Ovis aries: one gene and its partners. The main gene of each other region encodes a partner of the protein of the gene in region 2 in a complex. Links are inferred from orthologs where the notes say so. Each region holds a gene or a part of one and is shown on either strand. Other genes may lie near its edges. The genes, in order: B9D2, TMEM237, B9D1, TMEM17, TMEM216, CEP290 and TCTN1.

Region 1 (2,662 bases), on a different chromosome or scaffold from region 2:
CAGAACAGGTGATTGACAAGTCAGATTTTGCTTTTAAAAGATCCCTCTGGGGACTTCCCTGGTGGTCCAGGGGTTGAGGATCCATCTTCCAATGCAGGGGAGATAGGTTCTATCCCTGGTCAGGGAACTAAGATCTCACATGCTGTGGGGCAGCTGGGTCCCCGTGACTACTGAGCCTATGGGCTCTGGAGCCCTAGTGCCACAACAGAAATCCCATGTGCCACAACTGAGACCTGACTCAGCCAAACAAATAAATAAACTTGAAAAAAAAAAAAAAGATTGCAGTTAAAAAAAAGATCCCTCTGGCTGTCTCACAGGTGACGGATTGGAAGGTGAGGCAGGCCACAGTCCTTTCAGCTCTTAAGGATCCCAAATATCCTTGCTGTTTCTTTTCTCATTCTATTAGGAAATCCCATTAGCTCCCCCTTTGGAATGCATCCTGAATGTCATCACTCCCCCGACCCCCATCACCTCTCACTAGGCTGTTACCATAGAGTCTTTACTGAGGTGTCCCTCCTGTGAACACCTAAGTCAGGCCACATTCCTCCTCTGCTTAGGACCCTCTGTGGTCCCCACATCACTCAAGGTAAAAGGCAAAGCCTTACCGTGGAAGGACAGGGCCCTGCTTGATCTGGTTCTGTCTCCCCTTCCCCGTCTGCTCCAGCCACATCAGTCCCACCAGGCAGCTCCCACCTTAGGGCCTTTGCACTAGCTGTCCCCTCTGCTGGGAGCACTCTTTCCTAGATAGCCATATAGCCCCCAGTCTCTTCCCTCCTTTAAGCACTGCCTCCGATGTCACCTCAGTAAATTTTTTCTTGATCACCGCCTTCTAAAACTGCATGCCTACCTACTCCCACCCTACCCAGCTTATTTTTCTCCAGAGCAGTTATCACCATCTGACATACCCTATAATTTGCGTATTTACTGTGTTGGTTGTCTAAGATGTCAGCTGCACAAGGGCAGAAATTTTTGTCTGCCCTGTTCACTGCTGTATCCCCAGCTTCTAGAACAGGGCCAAGCTCAGAGAGACTCAAAAAGGAGGGTGAAATGGGGCTGGATCTCCCAAGCACTTTGCCTATAGGGTGAGGAGCTGAACTGTATCTTGAGTGAGGAACTGAGAAATCTATGGAAAGGGGAGAAAGATGCTTCCAGCTGCCAGGTGAAAGATGATGAAGGCAAGAAAGAAGGCCCCGAGGCCAGGAAAGAGGACAGGGTGTGGCCATGGGGAGGGAAGGAAGGAGGCATCCAGGACCAGGCCCACCACCCTCACCTGGGGACTGGGCTCCCCAGATATGTGGACACAGAGGAGAAGGCCAACAGAGAATTCAACAGAGGCCAGACCTCAAGGGTCTAGAATGTTGAGGTTGGACTTTATACTGAGAGCATTAGGGAATCATGGAAGGGTTTTGAGCCGAGGAAGAACCTGGATTCAGAAAGATCCCTTTGGCTGCTCTGTGGTGGTCCAGAGGAGGAGGGTGGGGCAGAAACCTGGCAGGGGGTCTTCAGGAGTAAGAGGCTGGACTGTACCCCTTCACCTTTCCACCCTCCCCCCTATCCTGCAGGCTGGCCCCGGCTCCATCTCCAGGTGTGGTCCCAGGACAGCTTCGGCCGCTGCCAGCTTGCAGGCTATGGCTTTTGCCATGTGCCCAGCAGTCCAGGCACCCACCAGCTGGACTGCCCCACGTGGCGGCCCCTGGGCAGCTGGCGAGAGCAGCTGGCGAGGGCCTTCGTGGGCGGCGGGCCTCAGCTGCTGCATGGAGATGCCATCTACAGTGGGGCTGACCGCTATCGCCTGCACACCACCTCCGGGGGCACTGTGCACCTTGAGCTGAGCCTGCTGCTGCGCCACTTTGATCGGTATGGGGTTGAATGCTGAAGGAGCCTATAAGAATGGCTGGCCCCCAGCCATGTCTTGGGACACCCCATAAGGGGCAGGATGGTGCAGTGGTCAGAAGCATGGGCTTTGGAGACTGTGAGGCCAGACCCAGCCAAGGCTGGTGCAGCTTCTAACCTGACTAGCACCTCAAGCCCAGTGGCTACCCCTCCCAGGTCCAGTTTTCCCATCTGTAAAATGGGCTAGTAGGTGTGTGGGCTCACAGGGGTTGGGTGCAGAGAAGCTGCTGGCACGTGGAAGGGCTCAATAAAGATGTAGTGCTTTTCAAGTGTGGGTGCTTTTTTGACCTTCATCTGTCAGACGTGGGCCGGGGGTGGGGGGATTCCTCCTACTGTTACCCTCCTCAAGCCCCCTTCCCTTGCCCTCTGCCTCAGCGTCTGACCCCCTTCTCCACTCTGGGTGATGCTCTTAAGGGCCCCCACTCGTTGGAGGTTCCCCCCGCCCCGTGCCCCTTTCCCCAGTGGCTCCTTAGTTTCTGGCTGACCCTCTTCCCCTCTGCCCCGGTTTCCCACTCTCCACTCAGGGCAGTCCACCTCGAAGTCCCTGTATCCTGGGTCCCCATTCTCTGAGCCTTCCGCACTACGTAGGTCTTTATGCTCTCGCTGACCCCCGGCCCAGTCCTCAAACCCACAAGCATCACTGCCGCCCGCTTCGGTAGCGCTCGACCGCCAGGAGGCAGCACCCTGTTGGTGGGGCGGAGCCGGGTGTCCGCCCCCTCCCCCCGGGCTTAAGGGACCCCCCTTGGAGCCCGCCCACGCAAGATGCGGA
Region 2 (4,135 bases):
CCCCAATATTTTCTGAACCTACATATACGTACTCCCTGTCTATTAATAAAGTGGATTAAACAGATTAAGAACTCTTATGTTGCCACTGATTAAAATCAGCTTAAACTCTGAGGAAACTATTCTCGCAAACAAAAGAGGATCAGAATTCTGATCAACAAGTCATTAAAACATTCAGAACAGACCCAAGATGATAATATGTGGACATTCAGTCTTTGAAACAGAATGTTTAATTACAACTGTTATCTTAATGATTCAAGGATTTTTCATCTTTAAACTTGAGGAAGTCTTTTCTGAATTATTATAATTGTGCAATGGTACTAGTCAAATTTTTTCACTTTATTCATTTTGCATTTTTTAAACTAGATAATAAAATTACTGTAAATTATTTTTACCTTGGCACAGGTGGAAGGGCTCGTGGAGGACGCTATGGGAAAAAGACAGAAAACTGCTTGTAAGTAAAGGCCTAGGAGCATCTTTACTTCATGTATTTCAAATTTTTGATAAACCTGTTCATCAAATGAAACCCAAGAGATACAGATGAGAATCAGATGGGCAATTTTAATTTTTTCTATCACTTCTAAATTTCACATAAAATTCCTTCCTTCCTATATTCCTATCTTCAGGCCAGGCACTGCACTAAGCGTTAGGGATACATTCATTAATAAACAGAACTGAGAGATCCTTGCTTTATGCAAAGTACATCCTAATGGTTAAATATTAGAAGATAACATTAAGCATATATATTTATATATATATGAATGAAGAATGCTGCTTTAGTTAGGAAAAGTCTCTCTGAGGTATTTGAACTGAGACCTGAATAAGAAAGGAGCCAAAGGGGAGCAAATACAAAATTTTTTACTGGAGATTGGACTTGGAGAGTTTCAGATAAAAGAAGGCCAATAAAGGTGAAGCAGGGTTATCAAGGCATGGGCAAACTAATTAGGAAGACCAACAGAAAGAACTTAGATTTTGCTTTAATTCAATGGGAAGCCAATGGAGGTTTTAAATCACAGAGTAAAATACTAACATTTATATAGTAACGTTTTTAAAATGTTACTAACAGGATGAGATGGCTGGATGGCATCACAGACTCGATGGACGTGAGTCTGGGTGAACTCTGGGAGATGGTGATGGATAGGGAGGCCTGGCATGCTGCGATTCATGGGGTCGCAAAGAGTTGGACACGACTGAGCGACTGAACTGAACTGAACTGAACACAACATAGTAACCTTTTAAAAAGTATACTCTGAATACAATGTGAAACACCCAATTTAGGGCAGAAAGAAAAAAATTCTAAATGTACTATAAATTTCCTACTTTACATGAACAAGAAAAGTGTTCAGAACATTAATTGGCTATAGGCCAATATAAAATAACACGTTTTTTAAGAAGTGCTTGTAGGTCACAGAAATTACAGTTAAGCAGCACTCTGGAATCTTTCAAAATAAAACACTAACAAATTTGTCTAGTAATCAGTTTAATATTCCAAGTATCTCAAGCTGCTAGCAGAAGACATTGATTTTGAAGGGTTAAATTTTAAACAACTCATTGCTTGTTCCACAACTGTCCCATTTAGCTATCCATTCGTTCAAAAAGTGTGTTAATAAAAACGCTACAAGACTAAGACATCGCCGGCTGTCTTAGCACTATCCAGTACCCAAAACTGAACTGGCAAAGGATAGGTACTGTTCCATCAGTCTACAAACAGTATTGTTCTAAAGATGCTATGGACCGTGTTCCAACCAAAGATACAGTTCAGACGACAACTCATTTCAAAAGTCCCGCAAAAATGACGTGTCGTTCATCCAAAACTCAACCTCTACGTTCCTCAAAAGTAGAACGGCTCAACTGAACTGAAAGTAACTAAGGCTCGCTTACCACCTGCTTCTTTCCCATTGCGTCTAAAGCTGGGCTCTCCGCCGGCCGCCGGCTCCCGGGCGCGGGTAACTCACACCCCTCCGGGGTTCACACCCGCCTAGTGGACCGCGCGCGCAGGCGCAATGCGTCATCAAGCTGCGCCGCACAGGCCGTTCTGACCCCCAGGCTCGACGCAGCAGGGTGGGAGTGAGCCGGGGCATGGAGACCCTGTGTGGCTTTTCTGGGCTACTCTTACGGGAAAGTGGGGGTTGGAGTCGGAGCCCCGGGAGAGGAGACTCCAGCGGATGCGGAGTAGCAATCACGATTTTTCCCATGGTTTCCCAAGTGGTTGCAGTGATTTGTTCGAGAGAAGTGAGAGAAGACCAGGATTAAAAATCCCTGCTGGCAAACAAATCTCTTTGCTGAGCAGCTAAAATGCTCTCTAGGAGTCGATAAAAAGGGCCTCGCTGGCAGCCCCCGTACCCGCAGGGGCGGGGTCGGAGTGAGTTAGGCGTCGTCATGGCAACACCCTCACTCAGACCCCCGGAAACTTCACGCCTGGCTCTCTGCCAGGCTTTTGGAGTTCGGGTCCGGCCCTGGGAAGAACTTCTAGGCCCCGCTCCCAAACCCTATCCTGTGAGCGCCGAAGGGGCGGATGCGCGAGCTTCCAGACTGGGGTTCGCCCCTTCTTGTCCCCAGCAGATCGGTGTCGGTCCTACCCCAGAGGTAGCGGCCGCGTTAAGGCAGCGGCCGACACGCCCCTCACCGCTCACCCGATGGTCCTCTTCCACCCCGAGCCTGGAGTCGGCCCTCATGGCGCTGTGCCCGCCTGGGCTCCCTCGACGCAACTGCTGCCTGCGGGAGCCTGGTTCCCCGCAACGCTGCAGCCTTCGGGACCAGCGGAGGCGGTGGCTCTGCAGTGCCGGACTAGGCCGCCGCCCCCGGGCCACGTCTCCGCCCGCCTCCGCTTTGGCAGCCTTCGCGTTCCGAGGCTTCAGGGTTGAGACGCAAGCGTTTAGCCACCAGACTTAATGTTTAGGTTCGGGTATGAGTGTGTGTCGAAACAGGCAATTCTCAGATTTTCTCCAGTTGCTTACCCTCCATCCAAAGACGCACGACATAAAATCTGGGCTCACATAAGTGTTAAAAATAAAAACGACAGTTTTCTTCGTTTTGTTTGGTTGGGTTTCTGAGAAAAATAATGCTTGGTCACTTTAAATAAAAAACTACAGATATTTTGAAGCATACACTCAATTTGCTCAATGGTTAAGGAAGAGCAGATGGATGGCACGGATATGGGAAAAGTTAGGGAATGATCCAGTAGTCCTGTATGGATGTGAGAGCTGGACCATAAAAGAAGGCTGAGCACCAAAGAATTGATGGTTTTGAACTGTGATGTTGGAGAAGACTCTTGAAAGTCACTTGGGCTTCAAGGAGCTCAAACCAGTCAGTCCTAAAGTAAATCAATTCATTGGAAGGACTGATGCTGAAGTGGAAGCTCCAATACTTTGGCCACCTGATGACAGGGGCAGACTCATTGGAAAAGACCCTGGGAAAGACTGAAGGCAGGAGAAGGGGGCCACAGAGGATGTAATGGTTGGATGGCATCACTGGCTCAGTGGACAAGAGTTTGAGGAAATTCCAGGAGATAGTGAAGGACAGGGGAACCTGGCTGTCCGTGGGGTCCACATGACTGAGTGACTGAACAACAAGGGAGTGATCCAGAGGGTGAACATATATAAAGGCAGGAAGAGTGACTGGAAGTCTCGAGTTCGTGGAATAACATCCTTATCCCCTTGTTTCTCAGACGTTGGTGTTTAGCACTAAAATTCATTGCTCTTTCCTAATTTAGGCATAAATATAGATACCGGCTTTTGGGGAAATTAATGATTGCTACAGCCCTGATCAAAAGAATAATTTTTCCTTGTAGCTTAATGTGTAAAATGAGAACAGTGCTGTTTCAGTAAGTTTTGATGTTAGAGGTGATTTGTATATTAATCCTTCCTTCTTGCAGTTAAACTGTGTACTTTTTGAAAAATCCATGGTTATAAAACAAGTTTCATAAGGTAAAATACAGTTTCTGAAATTAAATACAACGTATTTTATTTAGGAAAGCTCTTTTTTATCTGAATCACACAAAGGCCACGTGAAATCTATGAAAGGTCCTCATATTCGGTGACTTAACATTGTTCCCTACCAATTGCTGCATATAAGGTAAAGGAAAACATTTTTTCCCCTGAAATCCAAAGAGATAACTCTACATAACCATACAAATTTC
Region 3 (4,015 bases), on a different chromosome or scaffold from region 2:
CTTCAGCATCATTCCTTCCAGGAATATTCAGGACTGATTTCCTTTAGGATGGACTAGTTGGATCTCTTTGTTGTCCGAGGCACTCTCAAGAGTCTTTTCCAACACCATACTTCAAAAGCATCAATTCTTTAGCACTCAGCCTTCTTTATGATCCAACTCTCACATCCTCCATACATGACTACTGGAAAAACCATAGCTTTGATAATGAGCAACGGAGACGTATTCACACTCCAGTACTCTTGCCTGGAAAATCCCATGGACGGGGTAGCCTGGTAGGCTGCAGTCCATGGGGTCGCTACCAGTCAGACACGATTGAGCGACTTCACTTTCACTTTTCACTTTCATGCATTGGAGAAGGAAATGGCAACCCACTCCAGTGTTCTTGCCTGGAGAATCCCAGGGACGGGGGAGCCTGATGGGCTGCCGTCTATGGGGTCGCACAGAGTCGGACACGACTGAAGCGACTTAGCAGAGTTGGCAGCTAGTACAGCAGACGTACTCAATTATCCATCCACTCCACTAGCTGCCACCAGTGCTCAGGCAACCGGGACACGGGGGTGGCCCAGACCCGGTGTTCGTGGCGTAGGGCTCAGGGGAGAGGCGGCACTGGCTGGAGCTATCACAGTAATCGATGTGCAAAAGCGAACAGTGGGGAGCGCTGAGAGCAGGCGGACGGCCGAGCCCCGCGGGCTCGCCCCTCCCCGCCGGCAAGGTGCCGGGGCGGCCACTCAGAGGCCCGTTTTCCCGCGTCACGCGGAGACCTGCAGTCTTGGGCTTAAGGACCTTCCAGGTCCCTTCTCGGTTGGTCTAATAAACTTTTGGGAGGCGAGGGTCTCAAAGGCACGAGGGAGCATCTGTAGACCCGAGGCAGGGAGCTGCTGGCCCCACGGGGACTCTCGGAAGCGCGGCCGGACCCCGCCCCTTGGCGGCCTCGGGCTCCAGTCACACACTCCAACCGGCAGCGCGGTGGTCAGAGCGGACACACATTCCCGGGCGGTGGCCTAGGTCCCGCACCACCAGCTACATTCACGCGGGGTTCCTCGGGCGGACCGCCCCTCAGACGGACCAGGCGGCTGAGGCCCGCCTCCCACCGCACAGCGCCGCTCCGACTGCGCTTGCGCGCCGCGCCTTGTGCGCGTTTTCCCGAAGCTCCCGCTTCCATGAAACTTGTCCCGTGCGCCACGCCGTCGTCTCCAGGGCAACCCGGCGCCTCCTAGTAACCGCGCGGCCCGGCTATGGCGGCCGCGGGCCCCAGCGTGTTCCTGCTCATGGTCAACGGGCAGGTGGAGAGCGCCCAGGTGAGCGGCCGTGAGTCCTCCAGGGTCGAACCTCGGGGGAGGGAGCTAGCGTGACAGGCTTGGCGAGAGATCGCGCGGACCCTCCGCCACGAAGTGCGGTGGGGAAAAAGGCCTGGAGCGTTGAGCCAGGCCGAGGCCACAGTTGGCCGAGCCCACGTGAAGATTCGGGCAGGGGCCTCCATCCACCCCGCGACCCTCAGCTCCTCCCTCCGGCGCGGGTTGGTCTGACACAGCGATGGTGGCAGCTGTCCTGACCCGGAGGCTGTGTCTGTCCGACGGAAGGGGACAGTGCTTTCCAGTCCCCTGCATGTCCTAAGAACCGTTTGTTACTACTGGAAGACATGACATATGACAGTCTTCATGCCCAGCCCCGCTCAGCCAGTCCTCACAACAACCATTTGAAGTAGGTATTACTTGCACCCCCATTTTACAGATGGGAAGTTGCCCAAAGGAAGTGGCAAAACGAATTTCAAACCTTGTCTGATGTCAAAGCTTTGCTGGACTTGCCTTTCCAGGCTGTTTTAAAAATATTATGATTATATTGTGAGTACTAACCAAGGTGGTCTAGGTAAAGCTCCGTGGGATCTCTTAGCGGGCATCTCCCGCCTTCCTGTTTCATCAGGGTCACTGCCCCATGCCCCCACCCTGTCCACCTCCCCTTGGCCTGGTGCCTAAGGCCAGCCTCTCCTGTTCTGCTTTATCCCAGCAGGGGCCTCAGCTGGGCTGGGTCAGTGTGCCTGTGTTCTCAGCAGCCCCTCATCCCCACTCTTCCTCCCCTCTGCTCGAGGCCACTCTGCAGGCCATTGGCTCCCACCAAGCTTTGTGTCCTGGGAGCACCTGTCTTCTAGACCTTTCACTTCAGCATCACTCCTTAGTGCCCACCCTGTGCCAGGTGCTAGGGACACAGAAAGCCCACATACCTGTCCCTTGTTCACAGTCTAATGGAGCTGAGAGAATAAACATGGTCAGTGCTGTGATGGAGCACCAGGGGCTGTGGAAGCTGGGATGTGGCTCCAACAACCTGGAAGTCGGCAGGCTCCCCAAAGTGTCAGTTTTGAAGGGTGAGCAGGAGTACTCCCAGTGAAGGCATTCCTTCACTTCTCATTAGAAGGGCACGTCATACAGATGTCAGAGCCTGAGCAAAAGCCTGGGGGCAGCACTGTCCCTGGACTATCCCACATCTTGAGACCAGACCTTCCAATGAACTCCGTATCCATGCACCCTGCTCTCTCAGCCCCCGCCCCCTAGGTGCCTCATGTTCAGAGTTGCTGGTGGCTGTACCTGCCTAGCTAACAGGTGGTCACAGCATGAGTCCCTGTGAGCAGAAGCTGTGTGTGCTTATTTCCACAGTTTCCTGAGTACGACGACCTCTACTGCAAGTACTGTTTCGTGTATGGCCAGGACTGGGCCCCCACAGCGGTAAGCTGGACCCTACAGCCTCCCAGACTCACAGCTTTTGTGACTGAAGGGGTTTCTGAAGGCTCCATTGCACCCTTTCCCCTCCCAATTCAGAACCAGTTAAGAGTTCAGGGGTGGCACACACGTGAGTTTGTTCCCAGTGAGGCCGGAGCAGAGAATGCAGAGATCCCTGATCCACCCCTAAGACTGTGGTCGCTCCTGGGCCCTGCCCTGCAGCGAACAAAGCCAGACCAGCCCAGCTCTGCTGGGGCCACTTGCCTGAGAGGGAGACAGACTCACGCTCCAGGCTGTTGGCTAGTAGCGGTGCTGAGGGGAAAGTGAAGGCAGGAAGGGGAGGGATGAAGAGGCCAGAAAAGGCCTCCTTAAGACAGTTTAAAAAAAAAAAAAAAAAGATGGTAACTGAGCGTAGAGCTGAAGGAAGCAGGGGGATGGGCCAAGTAGAAGGCTGTAGAATAAACTAGCCAGGCAGAAAGACAGGGGAGAGGGCAACAGCCTGCTGGACCATACCCTATTCCGCAGGAGGTGCAGGTGGAGCTTGGGCACCGGGAGAGGGGAGGGGCCTCAAGGTTTCAGGTCCTAATGGATAGAAACCCTCAAAGACCTGGGAGCCACTCTGTCACATCTTAGGTCCCTTTGTTTGGCAGAAGATGGTGATGAAAACAGCTCTCAGCTGCCACCTCAGAGGTAGGGTGGGTGGGCATGGCAGCCTGGAGCTGGGACACTGGCCGTCACTGTCATTGTCCTTGCAGGGGCTGGAGGAGGGCATCTCACAGATCACCTCCAAGAGCCAAGATGCGAGGCGGGCGCTGGTGTGGAACTTCCCCATCGATGTCACCTTTAAGAGCACCAACCCTTACGGCTGTGAGTCTGCAGGCCTCGTCCTGCCCATCCATGGGGCCCTCTACCAGCCTTGTCAGGTGCTATCAGACACCTGGCTGTTTTCCCCTCCTTCCCACTGTGTGCACTTGACCTTTCCGAGGTTCTGAGGAAGTCGGTGAAGCCCAGCGTGAAACCTTGGGCAGTGACTGCCTGCGAAGGTCAGAGCCTGGTGTCTGGGGCTCAGCAGTCTGGCCCCTCAACAGCTCTCCCCCGTCCATCACCACTGTGCTCCCGCCAGTCCCGACCCCCCTGCTCCTCCTCCAACACCCTGCCCTGAGCCAGGGGTAGGCCCTTCTCTCTGCCATGGGCACCGAGCCCTCATCCTACCTCTGATCTCCCAAAGTTCTCCTTGCCAATATCTGCAGGGTTTGTTGTCCACTGTACCTGGTCGTCTGTGATCACTCTCACTTAATGAATGT
Region 4 (2,947 bases), on a different chromosome or scaffold from region 2:
AAATACAGATTGCCTAAACTCCAAATGTGCTGACATGGAAATGTCTTTCCTATCTCAATTTTCCTATGCATACATAGAGCACCATGTATATACACCAAATAGAAAATGTTGGTTCAGACTAACACAAAATCATGGTTCTATTGTTTTATGAAAAACCAATGACTTGATCATGTTCTCAATTGATTTTCTTAGTTTCTTTTTTCTTACCCTCATTATATCTACATTTTAAGCAATAATTATTAGAACAAAAACTTTTAAAATTTTTATAAACATATATTCCCCCATTTAACCATTAAACTTTTTTTATTGTTATTCTTTATACTTTTAGTGATTTACCTTAAAGTTTAAATGTATCAAGAGGCTCTGCTATTTAAAATAAAACTCTGGAAATGATTGTTAAATAGAAAAGTCTTTCTTGATCATCACCTTAATTTATCTGTTATGTAGATTTAGTGTTCTTATTTTATATTTTCTTATAAACTCATCTATCTGGAAAAAAATGTGAACAAATACATTTTATTAAACTATTCAAACAGAATTCTATTTTGAATTTCAAAGTATTGGAATATACCTAGTGACAGCTTTGGTATAGGGCAAAGGTTAATTAGTTAGTGTACAGGGGAAGAAAACTTTGACTGAACATTATATATAATAATAAAAAGCAGAAATAATAAAAAGAGCATAAACAGAATAGTAAGGTGTGATTAACAGTGGGAAGTGAAAACATTTTCAAAATTAAGCAACATAAAAATGAATAAGGCATAATGTGGAAATCCTAAGATAAGCATGAATCACAAAACAGGAAGGATAGAAAAAATGATTTTTAATGTAGCTACAACTATCTCTCAATAAAATACAATACTTTAGGAAAGAAAATATTGTATCTCTTAAGACAACCCAATTATCACTTAAAATTAATGGTTCAGATATACCCAAGCAAGCTTTGTTCTTAACAGAATTTCCTTAAATAGGTTTCTCCTATTAGCAAGGGAATATGCTCATTTATGATCATGAGTCCTTTGGGCCATCCAAACTCTATATATTAACAGGCACCCTGATTATCAGATCAATCTTCATGTGAATTTACTGGGTATGAGCAGTTCTTCAGTGAATAATGACTTAATAGATAAGATCATAAGGGTTAATGTACCCAGGACAGTGGCAAATTACATAGAAGGCTCTCAAATACATGTACTTTTCTCTTTTAACTTTATAATAAAAATAAACCCACAGCCCAAAAGAACTGTAAAAGACAAGAATGATTTCTAAAGATAGCTCAACATAAATATTTTATAACTTATTGTGAAGACATTTTGCACACCACCACCATAAATACTGAACATGGCTGTATGAAAATAACAATTTTAGGATAAAAACATTTCCTAAATATCATCACAATCTACCTGCTTTCTTCTTAACCTCAGTATAATAGCTAAGACCCTAGCAGACATGAAAATTTGGTGTCTGTTTACAAATGTAGTCTAATACATCAGAATACTGACCAGCATCTCCACATACTTCATACGTACTGCCAAGACATGGATAGGCCAACAATAGTGAAAGAAATATACACATTTCTAGTTACAGGTACTAACTGGAGATATTACAGTAAAGATGTAACGCCACCAATATAGATCTCTACACACCTGAAAACATTGACAACAACAAAAAATTTAAGATATTTGACATCAGGTAGACAACATGCAGGCTTTAGGGTTGATTTACTGCTTTCACGTGCTGTACAGTCTTATCATTGTGTCCAGCCTTGGAATTTCAGAGCCAGGGAGGATACAGTTCAAAACACTTGCTTTGTCCCTTTTATTGTGTTAGCCCTCTGGTGTTTTCCTGCAGTCTTCTAGAATGATCCTCCAGATGCTTATTCAACAGCACTGGGTCAAATCTCTTCTATACAGGACCTCACTCTTCTCATGTCTCCTCGGCTCGCAGACAGCCGGTCAAAGTCTTGGAGGTGGAAACGAGTTGCCAGCTGATTTACCATTTTCCTCAAGGTAAGAAATGCTGAAACAACTTGGAAAGTAAGGAATATAGTGAAGATGATATGTACTGCTTTCTCCAAGGGCAGATTTGTTAGGCCCTCATTGAAGAGCAAGAAAAGAATTAAAGGCAACTGCAACAGAAGGCTCAGAAGCCAGAAGCCAGCCAACTCAGGAACCTGCAATGATACACACGACAAACATCAGACCAGTGAAGTACCATCTTCTGCTTGTGCTGAAGCAAGTGATACTACTGTGAACCTACATTTTGAGCTCTGTAATTCAAAATAAGTATAGTGTGGTCCTTATCCTCAGGGAACTTACAGTCTAGACTGAAAGAGGAAACTACCTTATGTGACAGTCCTACATTACTACACTTAAGTGAATAATGAAACGTACGTACCACTTAGAGTAATAGACTAAATGCTCTAACAGAGTAAACAGGGTAGGTAAAAGAAATAATTCAAGGAGGTAGGCTTTTAAAGTTAGATAGAATGAGGAAGCGGAGAAGGCAATGGCACCCCACTCCAGTTCTCTTGCCTGGAAAACTCCACGGACAGAGGAGCCTGGAAGGCTGAAGTCCATGGGGTCACTGAGGGTCGGACATGACTGAGCGACTTCACTTTCATGCATTGGAGAAGGAAATGGCAACCCACTCTAGTGTTCTTGCCTGGAGAATCCCAGGGACAGGGGAGCCTGGTGGGCTGCCACCTATGGGGCTGCACAGAGCTGGACACGACTGAAGTGACTTAGCAGCAGTAGCAGCAGCAGAATGAGGAAAAGGCAAGAACTTAAATAAGCAAAAATGTGGAAAGAATATGACTGGGAAACAACACATCAGCCTGGAATGGATGTCTGTGTTAGGAAAAAGCACAAAATACAGTGGGATAGGCTGGGTGGGGCTTAATTATGAAGGGCCTGGAAGAACACTGAAATCTTTAGGCATTATCACT
Region 5 (4,175 bases), on a different chromosome or scaffold from region 2:
GGGGGGGGGGGAGCCTGGTGGGCTGCCGTCTATGGGGTCGCACAGAGTGGGACATGACTGAAGCGACTTAGCAGCAGCAGCAGCAGAGGGACGGGGAGAAAAGAGTTACTGTTAAATGGTTACAGAGTTTCTCATTGCCATGATGAAAAAAGCTTTGAAAATGGTGGTGATGGTTACCCAACATTGTGAATATAATTAATGCCACTGAATTGTACACTTGAGTCACTCTACTCAAATTACCTGGTTTGAGTGTGCCATGTTTTCTGTCCTATCCTGACAGTGGCTGACAGTCAAGTCAGCCTCAGTCCAATCAAAACTCTTCTTTCTGCTTCCCTGTGGGCCGTAACACATGCTAACTGCTCCAAACCATAATCAGGTTTCAAAGCCCAGTTCACCAGTCATCTCTTGAAAACTTCTCTCAGTTCCCACCTAGAGTACTTTGTCTTCCCAACTCCCATGCAAGTCAGGGGTCACGTGGTGATCATGTTTCATCTTCCCGGTCTTCTTTATGCTCCTCGAGAGGATCCTCTGCCTGCCTGCTCAGTCGCTCAGTGAAGTCTCTGCAATCCCAGGGTTGTCTAGCCCGCCAGGCTCCTCTGTCCATGAGATTTCCCAGGCAAGAATACTGGAGTGGGTTGCCAAAGGAGCCTCTAGTTCTGATTAATTCTGGTGTCTTCTAAGTACCTGTTTGATAAATCGGACGCACTAAATCCCCTATTACCCTCCCAGAAAAGACTGCTTGCTAGACAAAAGACCCCAAACGCCAAACCGCATTTGCAGAGCACTTTTGTGCATTATCAGACCGTTGTTTGGGATTCCCTCGTGGCTCAGATGATAAAGAGCCTGCCCTCAATGCCGGAGGTCTGAGTTCGATCCCTGGGTCCTGAAGATCCCCTGGAGAAGGAAATGGCAATCCACTCCAGTATTCTTGCCTGGAAAATCCCATGGACTGAGGAGCTTGGCAGCTATATGCAGTCGATAGGATCACAAAGAGTCGGACACGACTGAGCGACTACACTTTCACTGTTCTTTTTTCGTGTATTGTCAGACCGTTAGTGAAGAGAATCGTGGCGCTACAGCCTATTTGGCAATCCTGTGGTCACATTACCACTACTGGCTACTTCTGCAGATTCATTGTAAACTTTGGGTGGGGAAGCCCAACAGCTGCTCCCAGCCCTAGGGGCCTACGGACTCCAGCTCGGGGGGTGGCCCCTGTGCTGTCGAAGGTCTCCAGACAGAACCCCAGTGAAGGCCATTTGCGCGCACCGGCGGACGCACCAAGACGGCCTTCGCACCAGGCAACCATAGAGTGTGATGGGCGGGCAGAGAGGCCAGAGTCTCGGGCCGCTCTGTCCCCCGCTTCCGGCAACGCCTCGTTGCTCCAGAAGTAGAGGTAGCCGCGTATGCAGTTTCCATGGGGACTGGAGATGGCGCCGCGAGGTGAGATTACGGAGGTGTGTGAGTCGCTGGTCCTGATCGCTTCTATATTCCATTCCTTTCTCTCCCATTGCTCGACTTTTATAAACCCTCTATTCTCGGGTGTTATGGACATCACTTCTCGCTTGTCCAAAGCAGGGTCTAGCAGCTTCACCCTCCCTGAGTTCCTGAAGGTCTCGAGGTGCGGGTCTTAGATTCCCTCAAATTCTTGGCCAGGTCTGTTCTAGGCCAGCTCAGTTACAAATTTGCAGTGTGACTTCAAACAAGCCAGTGCTGGCCTCTGCACCCCATTTTCCCTTCCCAAATAGTGACGAGGTTAGATCTTAAAGGGGCTTTGACTTTCGCGCCCGAAGCCCGGAGTCAAGTTTAGGGGACACTCTACACACAGAGAGAAACCCTACACACACAGACACCCTACACACACACTCTCTCTCTTTTTCTCTCTCCTCATCAGCAATCAGAAGTGCCCCAAGTAGCCCTTTCCATTAGCTGCGACCTCACTTTTCCTTCGTTAGACACAAAACCATTGAAATAACTGAGGTTGAGCTGCCCTCCAGCCCATCTCTTTTTCTCTGTGCTCACATTTTCAGGTAAACGATTGTCCTCCACCCCGCTGGAAATTCTTTTCTTTCTGAATGGGTGGTATTATGCTACCTATTTCCTGCTGGAACTCTTCATATTTCTGTATAAAGGTAAGGCCTGGGGATTGACTACCCTTGCCCACATCCCTTCCCCACTTCAGGGCAGAGCCAACTCCCACCAAAAACCTTCCTATTTTTCATTCTTTTCTGCCCTCTAGGGAACCTCTTCACTGTAAGGTAGAAGTCTCTTCATCAGCTGACTTCTTGAGAATGATTTAGTAGGAAGCTCCTGGGCAAGAGTTTGTTGAGTTTGGGAAATGTGGGATTCTTCATTCCAACTCTCCCCCATCACCTCTTGCTGAACTCCACTTTCAGCCTGTTGATGAGCCTCGGAAGCTATTCAGCGGTCTGTGTACCCATGTACAGCTGATAATGGTGGAGGGTGGAGTCCTCATAGACTGTCCGAGTTATGAGTAAAACCCGATAACAACATGCCTGCCTCTAAAAGAGATGCAGCCACAACAAGGAGTTAACACATCCTGCATCAGGTTAACAGATGCTGCCCACACCTCACTAAGTAGCTCATGGACAGCTGATGAGACTCGCGCGTGTGGGGCTCTCCTGCGCACTGCTCTGTGTTGTTTTCAGGCTCTGACTTCTGTGTTGGCAGGTCTCCTGCTCCCGTACCCAACAGCCAATCTAGTCCTGGATGTGGCGATGCTCTTCCTGTATCTCGGAATTGAAATAATCCGACTATTTTTTGGTGAGTGTTTGTCCAAGAATATTTCCATTCTTTCTGAGATGAGCTGGTATCCGTAACCTGATCAACAAGGAAAAGTACATAACCTAGGCTCACCAATCAAGAGATTGGATCTGGTGGTATATCCCATTACTCCCTCTCTGAAGTTTCAAGCTGCTTCATATTTTGGGTCAAGATGTATCTGTCTGTTGCCCGGCAGGGCCAGAAGTGGGCAGTGGCATGATATTAGACAATTTCTTCCCAGTTGTCTAACTGTTACAAGAGTGCCTTGTTCCTCTCACTGGTTTGCTTGGGAGAATAGATTCAGCTGTAACTCCATGTCTGGGGCAGGAGATGCCTGCACAGGTCAGCACTAAGATCCCCTTCATTTTTCTGAACAAGGATTTCTCTAGGACAAGTTTTGTATTCCTGGAAGTACAGAGCAAGCCCTTTTTAGTTAGAATATGTCATCCCTGAAAATGTTCTTTAAACACACTGAAGAAAAAAAACATACTTTAAGTACATATCACAGTGGATAAAGAAAGCTCACATAAAATGCTAAGAAAAAAGCTAGTTTTAAAAATGAGCAAGGGAGGGAATTCCCTGGCTGTCCAGTGGTTAAGATTTCAAGCTTCCAACTCAGGGGGTAGGGGTTTGATCTGTGGTTGGGGAACTAAGATTCTGCATGCTGCACAGCGAAAAAAAAAAAAATTAGCAAGCGACCCTAATGGGCAGTTCACATAAGAATAATTACAAAGGACCAGTAACCATGATAAAATGCTCAAACTCACGAACAAAAAGCAAACTGGAAAAACACGGTAACATATTCACCCATCGGATTAAAAAGATTCCCAAATGCCCCGTATTCAAATAACCGCAAGAAACAGTATGTATGGTCTCACACTCATGTGAGTATTTATATTCCCACACCCCTGGGAATAGAAATTAGTATAACCTTTTTTGCTAATGGTTTTACCAGGTAAAATGTATATTCTTAGACATTAACAATTTCCCTTCTAAAACTGGCTGAAAAAAACACACTTCTACAGATACACAAGTATATCTGTATGAGGATGTATTGCCATGTATTTTTTGACATCAAAACCTTAGAAACAACCTAACACCTATCAATACAGGACTAGTTAAATTATGATATTGGTTCAATGAATTGTTCATAGCCATTAAAAAAGGTAGTTAGGTGTGGAAAGAGTTACGATAGAGTAAAAGGTAGTTAATGTGGAAAGACGTCTAACCATGTTAAATGGTTAAATAAGTTGCCAAACGGTATGCAGAGTATGATTCTACTTTTACAATAATGAAAATAATAACACGTGACTATACACATAAAAAATGTCTGAAACAGTATGCCTCATTCTGTAATAATGGCTTTCTCTAGAGGGTGAATCATGAGGTCTTTT
Region 6 (3,500 bases), on a different chromosome or scaffold from region 2:
GATATAATTTATTAATTTAGATTTTATAAATTAGGAGTTTGAGCTATTAGAATATCTGTTTATAAATAAAATGAGACTCCTCTAAGCCATAGTTTCAGTAGAAATGCTTAGATTGTAGTATCAAAGAATTTTAAACACTCTAGGAAAGTATATATTAATTAAATACTAACTAATTATTCTTAAACATTATAGTGATTAAACAAGTAGTAGGCCTACATTTATTTTTTAATGTAATTTTGTTTTTACTCTTATTTGGAAGGAATTAATGAAAAATAATTATTTTGAAATTAAATTTTATTCTCTAGGCTAGAAACATTTGGGATTTTTATTTATGAAAGTAAAACCAATGTTGCAATTACATACAAACACTAAGGACCCAACAAATACATGAAAGTAAATGAATAAATAAATGTGATTGTTAGTGATATCCATTTCAGCATCTTTTGAAAAATGCTTTATGTTAGGAGTCTACATATTAAAAAAGTCTATAGAAATTCTAAATAAACTTTTCTTTTTGGTACAACCAAGAATAATTTTATATCTTATTTTAGAATGTCCATTAATTTGAATTGAAATCATTAAAATCAGTAGAGAAATTCATTATTTATTAATATAGTATTAACATTTGTATATGTAATTTATAAATATTTAGGTAATCAGTTGGCACACAAAAATAGAAGAACTCCGTCTTCAAGAGCTTAAACTCAATCGAGAATTAGTCAAAGATAAAGAAGAAATAAAATATTTGAATAATATAATTTCTGAATATGAGAACACAATCCGTAGTCTGGAGGAAGAAATTGTGCAACAGAATAAGGTTTCATTTTATATTTATTTTGGTGTTTTGTTGCTAAGATTTTTAATATAACAACATTGCATTGATGACTGCCTTATTTTCCTAATCAAGTATAGCTTCTATTATCATTCTTATAAAATATTGTTTCTTATTTTTTAAACTATTCTAAAAATACATTATTCATTTATTTAGTTGCATTAGTTGTCTTAAAAGGAAGAATTCATAAACAAGTTTATTTGTTAAGTTAATTTTTGTTTCACTATTGGTTATTTGAATTCACCTTTACAAGTTTCTACTGCTGTCACTGAAGGAATAAGGCAGCTTGGTATAGAATAAAGAACAGAAGCTTTGGAGACAGATGCAGTTCACTAAGCAGATGCTTACTTGCCTTAGAAATTTTGTTGTTCCTTCTGCTTAAATTGTTCTTACCTAAGATACCAGTATTACTTCTGCTTTCACTGCCTTCTGATCTTACCTCTAATGTATTACCTTATCAATGAGACCTTCACTAGTTACCCAACACACAACAGTAAATTTTATCATCAAGATTCCTTAAATACGGATTACCTAGTTTCATTTTACTCCATAGCACTCATCGCCCTCGGACATATGACATACTTATTTGTTTACTATCTCCCCCTCAGTAGTATATAACTCCTGTGGTGAAGGGGACTTGGTTTTGTTTATTGCTGTGTTCTCATTGTCTCAAATAGTACTTGCCACATAGACTGTGTCATTAAACATGCTTTGGATGAATGAATGGATGGATGGATAAATGGATGGGTACATGGATGGGTTGAAATCCTGACTCCACACCTGCCTGTCCTTGTGATCTTAGGCAAAAATTACTTAATCTCTGAATTTTCTTCCTTTTTCCTTAAAATGAAAATAATAACAGTGACCTCAAATGGTTGTTGTGAGGATTAAAGAAGAAAAATGTATGTAAAAGTTCTTCTCATAGGCCTGGTGAGTGTCTCTGTGTGTGCATGACCCAACTATCCTTCTTTAGTTTCATGAAGAAAGACAGATGGCCTGGGATCAGAGAGAAGTTGAGCTGGAACGTCAACTAGATGTTTTTGACCGTCAGCAAAATGAAATACTAAGTGAAGCGCAAAAGGTATAAATGATTAATCCTATTTGCTACTCTATAGCAGGACCTATAATGTTAACCAGTAGAAATGTTTTCTAAGGTTGGATGGAATTTTATTTTTATTTTTCTGTTTTTTTTTTAATTGGAGGATAATTGCTTTACAGTGTTGCATTAGTCTCTGGTACACAACAGTGTGAGGCAGCTATCTGTATACATACGTCCCCTCCCTCCTAAGCCTCCCTCCCAGTCGCCACATCCTACCCCTCGAGGTTGTCACAGAGTACTGAGGTCAGCTCCCTGTGCCATACAGTAGTTTACCAGCATCTATCTATTTTACATGCGGTAGTATTTATACTCTTTCAATTCGTTCCACCCTCTCCTTCCCCTGCTGTGTCCACAGGTTCGTCCTCTACATCTGTGTCTCTATTCCTGACCTGCAGATAGGTTCATCAGTACCATTTTTCTAGCTTCCATGTATATGTGTTAATATACGATATGTGTTTTTCTCTTTCTGGCTTACTTCACTGTATGACAGACTGTAGGGGTCATCCACATGACTACAAATGACCCAATTTTCTTCTTTTTTATGGCTGAGTTGGAATTTTAATTGATGATATCTTTTTATGTGTCAACTATAAGTGAAATTTAACCATGTCTTGTCATATAGTTGTAAAAATTAATATTGTTATTTCCAATGTTGCAACTGCTCTTCTTTAAAAAAAAAATCTATTTCTCAATAGTTTGAAGAGGCTACAGGATCAATGCCAGACCCTAGTTTGCCCATTCCAAATCAACTTGAGATTGCTCTAAGAAAAATTAAGGAAAATATCAGAATAATCCTAGAAACCCAAGCAACTTGCAGATCACTGGAAGAGGTAATTAGAAGAATTTGCATATTGTTGTTGTTCAGTTGGCAAGTCTGACCCTGTCTGACTCTTTGTGACCTCATGGACTGTAGCATGCCAGGCTTCCTGGCCCCTCACCATCTCCTAGAGTTTGCTCAAGTTCATGTCCATTTCATTGGTGATGTCATCCAACCATCTTATCCTCTGTTGCCCTCTTCTCCTTGCATTTTGATAAGTATATTATTGGGTATACTTCTGGAATTTTATAAGTAATATTTTTAAATGAGGATGAAGCATAAAATGATGAATCTGTTGCTTATTCTACTCTACTTTTCTTTAGTCTTTGTTTTGCCAATAAAGAACAGTAGGTATGGCTAATTTGAAATCACTCTTCTTTTAGTCATTACTTATCACTTTTGGGCACACTCATCAGTTGCTAGCATGAAAGGAAACCAAAAGAGCATTTGACTGTAGCTTTATGAGCAATGTGTTTCCCTCCCTTCAATGATCAAGAATTGTTTTCATCCTTGTTTATTTTTATATTTTATTTTGAAGCATATGTTCTAAACTCTGGATCAATTTTTAGTTTACTTCTTTTCGTGGGTGGTTAAAGGGCTTGAAGGTAAACTAGGAGTTGTTTCTTAGTTTAATCTAGGTCTTAAATTTGGTTAATAGATGGTCAGATCTCTCTTTATTAAATTATACAGAAAATAGTATAAACTGAATATATTTAGATGTCAACTAAAATGAAAATCATATTACTATAAAT
Region 7 (3,500 bases), on a different chromosome or scaffold from region 2:
TCTGACTGCTGAGACAAAAGAAAAAGGTGGGCAGGAGAACCACATGTGATCTGGAACCTATTTGTAGGATGTCAATTTCCATTAAACTCTTCTGGGAACTTTAGAATTGAAAGCTCTCATGGGTGGAGTGCTTTTATAGACCAGGGAACAATGGATAGGACAGCTCTGCAGATGGGAGGAAGTCTTGCTGAAACAGTCCACTTCACCTATCATATCATGATACCTAGAGAAACCTTGCATAACACCAACAAGGGACAGGATGGTGACTGGTAGTGGTCCCCATTTATAGAGAGACCACTAGGCACCATTAATATTACCCGATTTTAACTCTCAACAAGCCCTGAGGGCAGTAATACAGCTATGAGGAAAAAGAGGCTCAAACCGGTAAGATCGCTGGCTAAATCACTGCTAACTAGGGGCAAAATCAGTATTCAAGATCCAGGCCCATCTGATAACAAAGTCCAAACTCCCACCCACAGCCACTCACCCTCTTAACAGGTACCCCCTGCCTCTGTCTCCCCACAGTGAGAGGGGCAGGTGCACACTGGAGACCACTAGCAAGTGGCCTTCAGCTTCTCCCCCTTTACCTTCACATGTGACGTCTGGGTGATGAAATAGACGGGCACCCAGTCCAGCACATCCTGGGCCTGGGAATTTCCAAAAGGGGCCACATAGTCTGGGAAGCCCTGACCCTTTAGGAGGCTCTTCATCTTCTGCGCCACCAGCTGACACGTGAGAGCTTTGGTCAGTCTTTTGGGAAGAAGAATGAGGTCAAATGAGGTGATTGTTCAAACCTACAGTTTTTTCTTAATAAATGTCAAGGTCATGTTTAATTATGACATTTCTCTAGCACAAAAAAGTACTAAAAATAAGAAACAAGGGCATCTGTCTCAGGTATTAGACATCTTTATGTTACATCTGCCAAATACCTCACTTTATTACAGTGTTCAGTTCAGTCGCTCAGTCGTGTCTGACTCTTTGTGACCTCATGAATCACAGCACGCCAGGCCTCCCTGTCCATCACCAACTCCCAGAGTTCACTCAAACTCATGTCCATCGAGTCAGTGATGCCATACAGCCATCTCATCCTCGGTCGTCCCCTTCTCCTCCTGCCCCCAATCCCTCCCAGCATCAGGGTCTTTTCCAATGAGTCAACTCTTCACATGAAGTGGCCAAAGTGCTGGAGTTTCAGCTTCAGCATCAGTCCTTCCAGTGAACACCCAGGACTGATCTCCTTTAGGATGGACTGGTTGGATCTCCTTGCAGTCCAAGGGACTCGCAAGAGTCTTCTCCAACACCACAGTTCAAAAGCATCAATTCTTTGGCGCTCAGCTTTCATCACAGTCCAACTCTCACATCCATACATGACCACTGGAAAAACCATAGCCTTGACTAGAAGACCTTTATTGGCAAAGTAATATCTCTGCTTTTGAAGATGCTATCTAGGTTGGTCATAACTTTCCTTCCAAGGAGTAGGCATCCTTTACTTTCATGGCTGCAGTCACCATCTGCAGTGATTTTGGAGCCCCCAAAAATAAAGTCTGACACTGTTTCCACTGTTTCCCCATCTATTTGCCATGCAGTGATGGGACCAGATGCTATGATCTTAGTTTTCTGAATGTTGAGCTTTAAGCCAACTTTTTCACTCTCCTCTATCACTTTCATCAAGAACAGTGTTAGTACCCATAATATCTCTGATTACAGAATACTGTACCTGCAGTGTTTTTTTTTAATTTTTACATTCCTCAACAATACACATATTCTCTCTAGTTTCTTTTCTCACTCTCCAAAAAGGGGATTATTTGAAGTTAAAGTGTCTCTCACTTTGTGAAATTTTGGTTAGCCAGGGAGATGAATCCAAAACAAAGTTTCCCAAACTATATTCCATGGAGAAGCTCTGTACAAGAAGGGTTCCATGGCCAAACATTTGAGAAATATTACATACCCATGTCCCCGTTGAAGTACACTGACATTACTAAAGACTCTGAGAAGTGCTTACTTAGTAAGGAATCATGTTTTGAACTTTAATTTGGTGTTTCCCAAAATATTAAACCACAGACTTACCCCTGCTGACATTATAGAAATGTATCCCCACAGAACCTCCTTTCAGAAATGCTAATCTAACACGATCAGAATAATGTAAATGGTGAATTCTGGTCTAACCAAAATAATGATGTAGATACCCTGGGGAGATATAAGGATGGGAAGCAAGTCGCTTGTGGGGTAGGGGACCAAAAGAGAAAGAGCCAAATCTTCATCTCCCATAGTGGGAACTCAAATTAATAGTCATAAGAAAATAAACAAGGATTTGCTGTTGCTGCTGCTGCTAAGTTGCTTCAGTCATGTCTGACTCTGTGCGACCCCACTGACGGCAGCCCACCAGGCTCCCCCATCCCTGGGATTCTCCAGGCAAGAACACTGGAGTGGGCTGCCATTGCCTTCTCCAATGCATGAAAGTGGAAAGTGAAAGTGAAGTCGCTCAGTTGTGTCTGACTCTTAGTGACCCCATGGACTGCAGCCTACCAGGCTCCACCATCCATGGGATTTTCTAGGGGTGCCATTGCCTTCTCTGATAATAACCTATAATGGAAAAGAATCTGAAAAGAATATAACTGAATAACTTTGCTTTACACCTGAAACACTATAAATCAACTTTATACCTGAATAAAAAAATAAAAACAAAAGTCATAAAACCAGAAAAATGAAGAAGCATTATATATGGGTTATTTAAAAATTTGGGGACAAATTTTCAAAAACTCAACCATAAGAGCTGAAAGTGATTGCCTCTGGGATTCTGGGATAGGGAAAATGAAGGTTAAGAAGTGCTGTCTTTAGAACAAGCCACACAGAGCTGTTCAACATTTTACATTATGTTTGACAATAAAAAGATAAAACATACAAAGCCTTGATATTTTTACTCTGCCATATCTGATAAGCAAAAAGGGTTTTAACAATTTTCCTTTGAATCATGACAAATAGTTTATGGTTATGAGAATTAAAATTAGAAAACCAGAAACTGCATCATTGTAAAATAAATTATTGTTACTATTGCTGCTACCCAGTAATAATATGCTAATGAGGTTGTCCGCTGATGCAGAGTTTTGATTAAAATGAGAAGGGCTAGATAACTAACAAGGACCTACTGTATAGCACAGGGAATTCTAATCAATACTCTGTAATGACCTACATGGGAAAATTAAAAAGATGGGATATATGTATAACGACTCACTTTGCTGTATACCTGAAACTAACACAACATTGTAAATCAACTATACTCCAATAAAAATTATATATATATATATATAAAGGTACAGTGGGAGAACACAAGGAAAACAATGGGAAGAGTAAGAATGTTTTTGTGGGTTTTTTTATCAATGAAAATAGGCTCCAACAGAAGCAAGTTACTCTCTTACCTGAGTTTACAGCCAGACTGCATGTTGTAACCAAATAATACCGGGGCCCGGATCCCCTCTACTGCTAAGCAGTCTTGCTCAGTTGTG

The links.
Region 1: TMEM237 (region 2) and B9D2 share a complex: the UniProt entries of both Homo sapiens proteins name them as parts of the tectonic-like complex. The link is inferred for Ovis aries from reciprocal best matches to the Homo sapiens genes TMEM237 and B9D2.
Region 3: TMEM237 (region 2) and B9D1 share a complex: the UniProt entries of both Homo sapiens proteins name them as parts of the tectonic-like complex. The link is inferred for Ovis aries from reciprocal best matches to the Homo sapiens genes TMEM237 and B9D1.
Region 4: TMEM237 (region 2) and TMEM17 share a complex: the UniProt entries of both Homo sapiens proteins name them as parts of the tectonic-like complex. The link is inferred for Ovis aries from reciprocal best matches to the Homo sapiens genes TMEM237 and TMEM17.
Region 5: TMEM237 (region 2) and TMEM216 share a complex: the UniProt entries of both Homo sapiens proteins name them as parts of the tectonic-like complex. The link is inferred for Ovis aries from reciprocal best matches to the Homo sapiens genes TMEM237 and TMEM216.
Region 6: TMEM237 (region 2) and CEP290 share a complex: the UniProt entries of both Homo sapiens proteins name them as parts of the tectonic-like complex. The link is inferred for Ovis aries from reciprocal best matches to the Homo sapiens genes TMEM237 and CEP290.
Region 7: TMEM237 (region 2) and TCTN1 share a complex: the UniProt entries of both Homo sapiens proteins name them as parts of the tectonic-like complex. The link is inferred for Ovis aries from reciprocal best matches to the Homo sapiens genes TMEM237 and TCTN1.

The regions. Positions count from the first base shown.
Region 1 is NC_056067.1:50,063,066-50,065,727, reverse strand, and holds the end of B9D2 (B9 domain-containing protein 2), read left to right. Parts: intron 1-1,562; coding exon 1,563-1,876; 3' UTR 1,877-2,162; downstream 2,163-2,662. UniProt on the Homo sapiens protein: Component of the tectonic-like complex, a complex localized at the transition zone of primary cilia and acting as a barrier that prevents diffusion of transmembrane proteins between the cilia and plasma membranes.
Region 2 is NC_056055.1:203,963,049-203,967,183, forward strand, and holds the start of TMEM237 (transmembrane protein 237), read right to left. Parts: upstream 2,801-4,135; 5' UTR 2,673-2,800; coding exon 2,631-2,672; intron 1,981-2,630; exon of another isoform or gene 1,897-1,980; coding exon of another isoform or gene 1,879-1,896; intron 425-1,878; coding exon 393-424; intron 1-392. UniProt on the Homo sapiens protein: Component of the transition zone in primary cilia. Required for ciliogenesis.
Region 3 is NC_056064.1:33,860,280-33,864,294, forward strand, and holds the start of B9D1 (B9 domain-containing protein 1), read left to right. Parts: upstream 1-1,215; 5' UTR 1,216-1,235; coding exon 1,236-1,298; intron 1,299-2,648; coding exon 2,649-2,717; intron 2,718-3,466; coding exon 3,467-3,578; intron 3,579-4,015. UniProt on the Homo sapiens protein: Component of the tectonic-like complex, a complex localized at the transition zone of primary cilia and acting as a barrier that prevents diffusion of transmembrane proteins between the cilia and plasma membranes.
Region 4 is NC_056056.1:45,739,197-45,742,143, reverse strand, and holds the end of TMEM17 (transmembrane protein 17), read right to left. Parts: intron 2,174-2,947; coding exon 1,895-2,173; 3' UTR 501-1,894; downstream 1-500. UniProt on the Homo sapiens protein: Transmembrane component of the tectonic-like complex, a complex localized at the transition zone of primary cilia and acting as a barrier that prevents diffusion of transmembrane proteins between the cilia and plasma membranes.
Region 5 is NC_056074.1:36,444,880-36,449,054, forward strand, and holds the start of TMEM216 (transmembrane protein 216), read left to right. Parts: upstream 1-1,375; 5' UTR 1,376-1,403; coding exon 1,404-1,440; exon of another isoform or gene 1,441-1,454; intron 1,455-2,027; coding exon 2,028-2,129; intron 2,130-2,236; exon of another isoform or gene 2,237-2,255; intron 2,256-2,262; exon of another isoform or gene 2,263-2,424; intron 2,425-2,430; exon of another isoform or gene 2,431-2,566; intron 2,567-2,688; coding exon 2,689-2,781; intron 2,782-4,175. UniProt on the Homo sapiens protein: Part of the tectonic-like complex which is required for tissue-specific ciliogenesis and may regulate ciliary membrane composition.
Region 6 is NC_056056.1:124,381,201-124,384,700, reverse strand, and holds part of CEP290 (centrosomal protein of 290 kDa), read left to right. Parts: intron 1-652; coding exon 653-817; intron 818-1,805; coding exon 1,806-1,913; intron 1,914-2,626; coding exon 2,627-2,761; intron 2,762-3,500. UniProt on the Homo sapiens protein: Involved in early and late steps in cilia formation. Its association with CCP110 is required for inhibition of primary cilia formation by CCP110.
Region 7 is NC_056070.1:54,531,250-54,534,749, reverse strand, and holds part of TCTN1 (tectonic-1), read right to left. Parts: coding exon 3,414-3,500; intron 751-3,413; coding exon 588-750; intron 1-587. UniProt on the Homo sapiens protein: Component of the tectonic-like complex, a complex localized at the transition zone of primary cilia and acting as a barrier that prevents diffusion of transmembrane proteins between the cilia and plasma membranes.